Linked DNA regions of Drosophila melanogaster. The protein of the gene in region 2 interacts with the protein of the main gene of each other region in a pairwise test. Each region holds a gene or a part of one and is shown on either strand. Other genes may lie near its edges.

Region 1 (4,017 bases), about 17 Mb from region 2:
TAAAAAACAAACCTTGGCAAATCCGAAATCTGTCACTTTCAAGTATCCGTTCTTATCCATCATTATGTTCTCCGGTTTGAGGTCTCTATAGAGCAAACTGCAATGATGCAGATACTCCAGAGCCAAAAACACCTGGGCAGCATAGAAGCGGGCCTGTTTTTCCGTAAACTTTCGCACTCTTTAACAGTCGGAAAATGGAAAATTATTTGTGGTCGACTACTGAGATTTACTCACTTTCGGTGGTAGGTGAAGAGCTCTCCGCCACCAATTAGGGGCAGGACGAGGTAAAGGCTGTCGAAGTCCTTGTAGGAGGCTATCAGGTTGACCGTGTTCGGGAACGTCATCGAACGCAGCACGTTTTTCTCGCTCATCACGTGGCTCACCTGTTTAGTCTTCACGATCTGATCCTTGCTGAGCTGCTTGGAGGCGTAATAGACGCCGGACTCGCGCTCCCTCACCAACTGCACCTTGCCGAAGGATCCGGATCCGAGGGTCGCCTTAATCTCGTAGTCATCCAGACCCGTACTAGGCGACGGCGTGTTGGTGGCGAACTTCTTGTTGAAGTCCTCGCGCAACTTGTCCAGGATGAGAATGTAGTCCACCTTGGGACTGAAGTGCATCTGCGCTTGCTCCGGCTGGGGACCCATTGCGACAACAACTCGCGTATTAGAGTTCTGAGTGATCGCGTCAATTAACTATACCAGAATTTCGAATTTTTGTCTAAAGCATTACGAAAGCTCGGATTGAAAATGACCTGACGCTCCAGGGCTGCTATTTATTTATCAAAAGACCATTTATGAATGTAATAAGAGAGCTGTATTGCGAAAACTACTTTTACAAAATCCAATCACGATAGCACCCCTTGAAATTAAGCAAACACTAAAGAAAACGACGATTTCGAAGGACACATTGACATTTAAAAATTCGCAAACAATTCGGGATGGCGGTTTATTCGGGACTTGTACCGATCCTTGAACTCGAAGTTCTCGAAGTTCGACAGATCTTCGGCGCCGGAAATGGTGGGCTGGTAGGGGGCGGTGACTTCCTGGTTGAGAATGCCAAACCAATCTACGCCCTGGAACCACGGATGACTCTTCACGTCGCTGGAGCCGTCGTTCGAGTTTCCTAAACTGAGAAGGGGTGGCATGAGCACTGCATTGGAAGCACCTTGACCCACTCCCACTCCACTCACCGCTTTGAGGTGTCCACCTGCATGAGGCTCTCGACAAGGCTCCTCAGCTGGGACGTAAAGTATGAGGGCATCTTGTAGTCGCATATGCAGATCTTGGAGTACATCAGGATTACATCTCGATTGTGAATGGCAAAGGGAGACCGCCCTGCCACAAACTCGTACACTAGGATACCAAAGGCCCACCAGTCCACCGATTTGTTGTAGGGCCGGAGTTGAACAATCTCCGGGGCCAAGTATTCCGGGGTTCCACACAGCGTTGATGTGCGGCCATCCACACGCTGTGATTATTTGAGGATGAAAGCAATGGGAATTATGTGAAGTCTTTTCCCCACCTTAGTGAAACCGAAGTCCGTTATTTTGATATAGCCGCGCTGATCGAGCAGAATGTTCTCCGGCTTCAGATCACGGTACATGAGGTGCATCTTGTGCATATACTCAAGAGCAAGTGCCACCTGGGCGGCATAGAATCTGGCGTGCTTCTCGTTGAACTTGCGAACTCTTTTTTATGGGGGGGGGAAACCCGTTGGAACCCAGTCTGTGATCAGATGAAATGAGCACTCCAGAAAGGGAATACTCACCTGCGATGGTAACTGAACAGCTCTCCTCCATTGACCAGCGGGAGGATTAGGTAGAGATAGTCGAAGCACTTGGTCGAGTCCACCAGGTAGATGAGGAACGGGAATCGGGCGGCGTTCAGGACGTGCTTCTCGTTGTGTACGTGGGCCACCTGCTTCAGCCGCACCAGATCCTCCTTGCTCATCATCTTGGCGGCATAGTAGTTCTTGCCACTCTTCTCCCTGACCAGCATCTGAAGATTATTATATTTCGAAGGTGTAGCACATCTAAGAAATACCCTTTAACTCACCACAGTGCCGAAACTTCCGTTGCCGAGGACGGCCCGGGTTATATAGTTTTCCAGATTGGTGTAGGGCGACTGGGTCTGGTGATTCCACCGCTCTTCGAACTCGCGACTCATGTTGTCTAGGATTACGTTGTAGTCTTCCTTGGAGTTGAAAACGTACTGCGAAGTGTGCTGGCTCATAACAGCATAACATCCGGCCAATCGCGCATCTTACGGCGCCTTTGCGAGTGCCTTCCGTTGCAAAGCTGGACTAGCGAAACGATTTTGAGTGGCAAATCTATTCGGTAATCGGCGCTTGATACACTAGAAATTTGGATTTCAGTAATTTTACTCATTAATCAGATAATCGGTGACGGCTGAGTCAAAGCCACAATGCAAAGTCCACGCTGTGGAGGACATGGGTGTCACAACCATGACTGCATTTTCAACACCCTATATTTGAGCCATCTTTCATTCTTGATTGATCCATTACTGGTCACATTCTAAGGATTCTCCATTTGTAGTTTCTAATTTGTTTGTCTATTTTAAGTAAACTACTTCATAAATCGTATCCCAGCAATTTAGCAGTTTAGCTTCAGGTAAAGTGAACTTCATGAATCTGAAGTTCCAGGAATGCCTAAAGTCAAGGAACGATCCTTTCAATTAGCCGACTGAGCCCTTCTCCAAGGTATGACAAATTTACCTCCATCTCCTCCCAGGACGACTGCTGAGAAATGGCAATTTCCTGCGACTGTGACTGAGTCCACACACATGTGCTTCTGAGTCCGACTTCTCGACATGTCCTGGAGTCTGGACCTCTCGTCCTGTTTTCCGTCTGCCTCCTGGCCGCAAAAGTAAGAAAAATTGCAAAACGTCCGCTTGATAAATGATGCTAACCAAGATTACATAAGTTGGTAATTTTCTAGTACATTTATTTCCACATGTCAGGCCAGTCAAGTTGGTAACTCCAGACCGCATCTTCATGTTGATGGACATGTGAGTGGGCCTCCATGAGATGGGACAGTGGTAGGCTTACGAACCGGATGCCGGAATTGTTGCAGGCTTTTAAGGTAACTGTCGACCGAACCGTTTATTGGCCATTTCGGGCCAGTCTGTTGTCATTGTGCCACCTAAATTGACAATTAATCATTATCTTTCGGCCGGGTCGGCATTCAGATTGGCAGATTGGGTCAGCCCTGGTTGAGTGTCCTCTCGAGTTCGAGCTCGAACCATGTGAAAATGGGTTTCTAAATATGCCTTCGGTCTGGCCTAATGCCCTGGCATTAATTCTCGAGGAGCGGAGAACTTCATTATTGATTGGCTGGCAAAAGGGGTTTTTGTTTTGAGGTGGGGGACTCTGACTCATCTACTTAGCTATACAGGCACAAATATTTGTTGGACCAAGCTTTTAATTCGCTTAAAATAAAACAAATCGTCACGTACTTGAAAACTTTCACTTGCACTCGAAACGGGAGGCGTGCAAAAACTAAACAATTTCACTTAGCCAATGTGTGTGTTCGGTACAAATTCCGTTTGAAATCCTGGCTCATTTAACTTAGAGCCCAGCCGCCAGATAAACTTCAGTTGGCTAAGATATGTTAACGACGGCCATAAATAAGCGGATAATATCTGGAAGGCCTAGAATCCTCCATATCCTCGGAATATATGTGTGCTAAGCGGGCCAAGAGCAGATTAAGTCGTACGCACACGTTTCTTGGCCGTTTCTTTTGGCCGCTATGGCCGTAGCCACACTTAAAATTCATTTGTTGTCTTGAAGGACTCAATCCCCCGATTGCCAGGACTTTTGCCCGGCGCTATGCAAAGTAATTGACGCCTCGATGAACTGTTGACACACATGGCATTTGTCTTTGGCGGCCTGGCTAATATTTGGCTTAGTTATCAGAGGCCATTTTTTGGGCTTAAGTAGGTGAATGTCCCGGCTCTACTCGTACATATATGGCCAGATTCAATTATGCTGAAAGGT
Region 2 (4,639 bases):
ATATTTAAAACAATTTATGAAAAATTTAAATTTCTAAATATAATTGTATTATATTATTATTATTAAACTGGAACAATCAAAAAGAAAATATATAAGCAGCTAGCTATAAAGTAGTTGGCTGGTAAATAGCCAAAATTAGCCAAGTGGCCAGGCAGAGTTGCATTGCCGCAGCGTTGCCGGACCGCCGGCGACAAACATATGTATGCGTTCGTGTGGGTGGTAGCGTGTGAGTGTGTGCCGCAGCATGGGAAGCGAGTGATTCGCTGATTCGCCAAATTCGTCGTATTTACTTGGAAATTTGCAAACTAATAGCCAAGGGTCGCCGCCGAACGAGTGCAATCGAATTAGATGCAAAAATATCCGTTAATTAGGTGCATTGCGGCCGAAAACGTCATCGCCGCGAGTGCGACAGTGTGCGTGTCCCCAGTGCGTGCGCTCTCGTGTGTGTGTGTATGTGCGTGTGTGTGGCGCAGTTCACACAACTTGGCCTGGAAAAAGTGAAAGAGTATTTTTTCGGCCATATTGTGTTGTCATAGCTGGAAAAAGTGCATTTCCCGGCCATATGGAGATTCAGATCATATGCGAATAAATATTCGCTGAGCCAAAGTTTACTCAGAATCCCCCCAATTTCGAGTAAATAGGGCGACTTATGTAAAGCGGAGAACGAGAAACTATTTACATTTACAAAGGTGCGTACGCCCGTGTGCCTGTGTTTGTGTGTGTGCGTGTAACTGTGTGAGGGAGAAGTGCATCCAATTGATATGTTTGTCCATATTTTCATTACAAATTGCACGTTTATTATACGGTTTACATGGTTTAATTACAAGACTAGGAGCTACTTTTTGAGAGACAGACGCACGGGAACACCTGATTTGGGCATCAGCGGTATTCCATACACGCCGAACTCAATCTCACACTTTTCCTTCCGGATCTCCAGATCGAAGTTCGACAAAACCTTGGCAATCGCTATCTTCACATTCACCTTTCCCATGCGGGCGCCTGGAAAATAGACGGAAATTTCTTAGTTTCCATGGGCAATTGGAAAGAGATCGGTGGGATATAGTGGATTTGAGTATTACTTATCTGAAGTATTCAAACTCCCATTTCACCCTGTTCATGTGGAACCTTTCTTCTTACCGATACACATCCTGGGTCCCTCGCCGAATGGCAAATAGGCCGCCTGGGTGTAGTCTTTACCATTCTCCAGATACCGTTCCGGTTTGTAGGCAAGCGGATCGGGGAAGTACTCCTCATCGCGGTGCATTCCGATGAGGGAGATTATGATGGGAGTACCCTTTTGGATCACAAGTTTGCTATCGGGCACAGGATAGTCCTTGGTGCAGATTCTATTCAGCAGTGGCAGAGCGGGATATTTGCGAGCAGTCTCTGTTAGAAAGTATACAATATTAAACCATTTATAAAAAAAATATGGAAAATATATATGAAAGAACTGCCATATATTCCCATCAAAACTTACCGAGTATACACGCCTCCAGATACTTCATGTCCGAGATGGCGTCGTATGTCAGCTTTCCGCCATGCTTTTCGATGGCACTGCGAACATCCTCCTTAGCCTTTTCCATCACTTCAGGATTTTGGGTTAGCTCGTATAGGGTAAAGGATGTTGTAGAAGCTGTCGTCTCATAACCGGCAACATAGAAGAGGAATAGCTGGCCGGCAATCAAGTCCTTGGACATGGACTTAACACCATTCTTAGTGCTTTCCGCCGACCAAATATTGTCATCGGTATTGATCTTTCCCTGATTCCGCAGCTGCAGCAGAAGTTGCAGCAGATCCTTGCGAACTATATTGTTCTGTTCCCTGAGATCGACGGTTCGATTGGACAACTCGCGCATTCTTTCGGTGGCCTCCTGTTTCCAGCCGATTTTCACAAAGAATTTCTCCAGCCTGCAAATGGTTGAAAGATATAGGTTTTATGTTTAATTATAAAGTCTATAAAGTCCACCTTCAACTTACCCGGGATACAGGAAACTAGATGTTCCACGAATAATATCTTCAATGTTGTTACGATTCACTTTTTTGCTAATAATCTGGAATTCGTTGTTGGGATCCGCAAAGCTATCAACATCCAGTCCAAAAATAGTCGTGGCAATAATGTCGATGGCGTATCTAACAAAAGAAATAAATGAAGTACACTTCATTAGTTTGTTTATCAGATAAGGGGTATCTGTTTAAATACAATTAACAACGGCCATAAATTTCGAATGCGTTACGTTACATTAGTTTAGTATGTTCATTTTTTTCATAAGACAGCAAAACTATTGCAAGTTCTCAGTTCGGATGAAATGACATGATTTATAATCGCATCGCAGTCTGAAACTGTGAATTGGTTGTTCAAAAAATAAGTTTAGTATTTGTAAAACTCAAATAATTAGCTACATTATTGCAACGCAATTGATATTTGCTAATCTAATCGCTTCAACTTACGTAGCCATTAGCTTCTTGAGTTCCAGCTCCTTGGCGCCGTTCGCAGGCAGTTGCTTCCTAATGCTGTCCACCAACTTGTCTCCAACCGAATCTGAGGTCTCGAACATGGCCTTCAGTTTGCCGGATGTGAATGAGGGCGTCAGCTTGTTGCGCAAGGCCCGCCAGCTGGCTCCTTCCATTTGGAACAAACTCGCGGACATGGGATCGTTCTTTTCATCCACATACACGCCACGATCGTGAAAACTGGCAAAATCCTTGACCAACACATCGTGGGCCAGTTGGGCATCTCGGACGAGAAGTGCCGGTCTCAATGTGAGATACAAACCGATCACCGGTTCCTTTGTCGACTTGTACATATCGTATATGGCCATACCGAAGGATCGCTTTCCCTTTGTCACGGATTCCAGGGCACCGAACGGTATGCTCACTCCCGTCGATGGGAATCCCTTGCGATCCCAGTAGCTAAATGTCCACTTGAGATAGACATATAGCAGCGTGACTGCAGCGATCAGCAAATATATTCCGATCATATTGAATCTATACTGTTTACTATGTCCGCACTTCTAGCGGTCTACAACGCAACTGACTAGTCGTAGTCCACTGCCGATTTATAGTCGTTAGGTTGGCAAACAATTTCGCCATATCGCTGGGGTGATTACCGTATCTTTGGGCTCGGGCGTAAACAAATCCACTCGAGTCGAGCGATTCCCTTATAGTGTAGCTCGATCAGTATATATGTTTGCTGTTGGCTGGAGGATTCCTCGCAATGAGATTATCGTACAATGCTTTCTCAGTGTGACACGACAAGTTTCTAGTTCTCAGCGGGCGGCAAAAAAGTGCCGACAAATCGTTATTATATTGGTAGGTAGCATTTTCTTTTGACCCATCTAGCCAACGTTGCGCTGGCGATACGGCAAATCGTTTCGAGATAATGATGGAGTACTTTTCTTTCTATACATATATTCTTGATGGCGTATCGGAATTGAGGAACTTTACATGCATTGATCTACACTGACTACATCTAAGGAATTTATAATGTCACTTGTGCCAATCACTTACACATACACATAACTCTTATTCATCTCAACGGTTATACAACTATTTTAATTCCCGAGAAGATTGCTAATGATGTGTATACGTAAAAATTTATAACACTTAGTCGTAGTAATGGTGTTATTTTTATGTGGAACCCCTTTTGCCGATTTGGTTTTGTTTTAATCAGTCGATTTTTCACATATGTAAAGGAACATTGTATTCATATCCGCATTAGTAAATATGTATAACTAGTTTTTTGTATACATATAATCATTATAAACTTATACAGCACTAACAATTAGGCAACTATTTATAAACCGCGAAAACAGGTTAATAACGTATGTATGTATGGAATAACTTATAACATATCTTCATAGTAAGGGTTTATAATTTATCTGGGATCTCCAAATTGATTTTGTTGTACCATTTCTGATTAATTAAAGGAGATACATATATACTCGATGGATATAAACTAGTTTTTAAAACTGCAGATAGTATATACATAAGTCGGTATGAAATTTAAATTTGATTACACGTTTGCAATGACGATCTTTACATCTACCTTTCCTGTGCTGGAAAATACGCAGTATTTTATCTTTCAGATAATTTTAGAAATGTATATTGTGATGGTTTCTTAACGATGCATTTTCTAGCAGTTGGGTTGTTATTTTTGCCATACTACAGGTAGATAGAAATGTAAAATTTCTCGAAATAAAGGTGGCTACCTAAAAGATAGATTATTATGATATTTTCAGGATTGCAAGAACTGGGTATTTGCAGTCCCTGAAAAATTTATATTAGTAGATAAATTAGTAGTTAGATTGGAAACTGCACATTATAACAAACTGCACAAGGTACCAGATCTTCAGTAACTTCATGTTAATCATGTCTATTGATTGTTTTATAATTCATATCAAAATTAGTTTCTATTTATAAATGTTGCTTAAAGACTGGTTTTAATCACATTCAAATACTTGAAAGATGTACTCAATTTAAATGAAGCAGATAACTGGTTTCCTTATCAGGCGCTGTGGCAATGTGATATAGTTTGCTGGGTGTTCCGAATCGGATTGACCTAGGCCCAGGGGCTATACCCAATGCTCTGAAGAACCTGTGACTTGCACATATTGTATCCCTACAAATAGCCAAACTCTCT

What was found.
Region 1: the proteins of Cyp6d5 (region 2) and Pka-C2 interact in a two-hybrid assay, tested with the Drosophila melanogaster proteins (one large-scale study listed by BioGRID).

The regions. Positions count from the first base shown.
Region 1 is NT_033777.3:30,694,735-30,698,751, forward strand, and holds Pka-C2 (protein kinase, cAMP-dependent, catalytic subunit 2), read right to left. Parts: upstream 2,405-4,017; 5' UTR 2,235-2,404; coding exon 2,058-2,234; intron 2,001-2,057; coding exon 1,771-2,000; intron 1,691-1,770; coding exon 1,525-1,690; intron 1,471-1,524; coding exon 1,193-1,470; intron 1,131-1,192; coding exon 917-1,130; 3' UTR 803-916; downstream 1-802. Other genes in the region: CG12069 (uncharacterized protein), read right to left, coding at 13-178, 235-647.
Region 2 is NT_033777.3:14,027,623-14,032,261, reverse strand, and holds Cyp6d5 (cytochrome P450 6d5), read right to left. Parts: upstream 3,035-4,639; 5' UTR 2,979-3,034; coding exon 2,449-2,978; intron 2,131-2,448; coding exon 1,978-2,130; intron 1,909-1,977; coding exon 1,478-1,908; intron 1,387-1,477; coding exon 1,138-1,386; intron 1,000-1,137; coding exon 836-999; 3' UTR 779-835; downstream 1-778. UniProt on the Drosophila melanogaster protein: May be involved in the metabolism of insect hormones and in the breakdown of synthetic insecticides.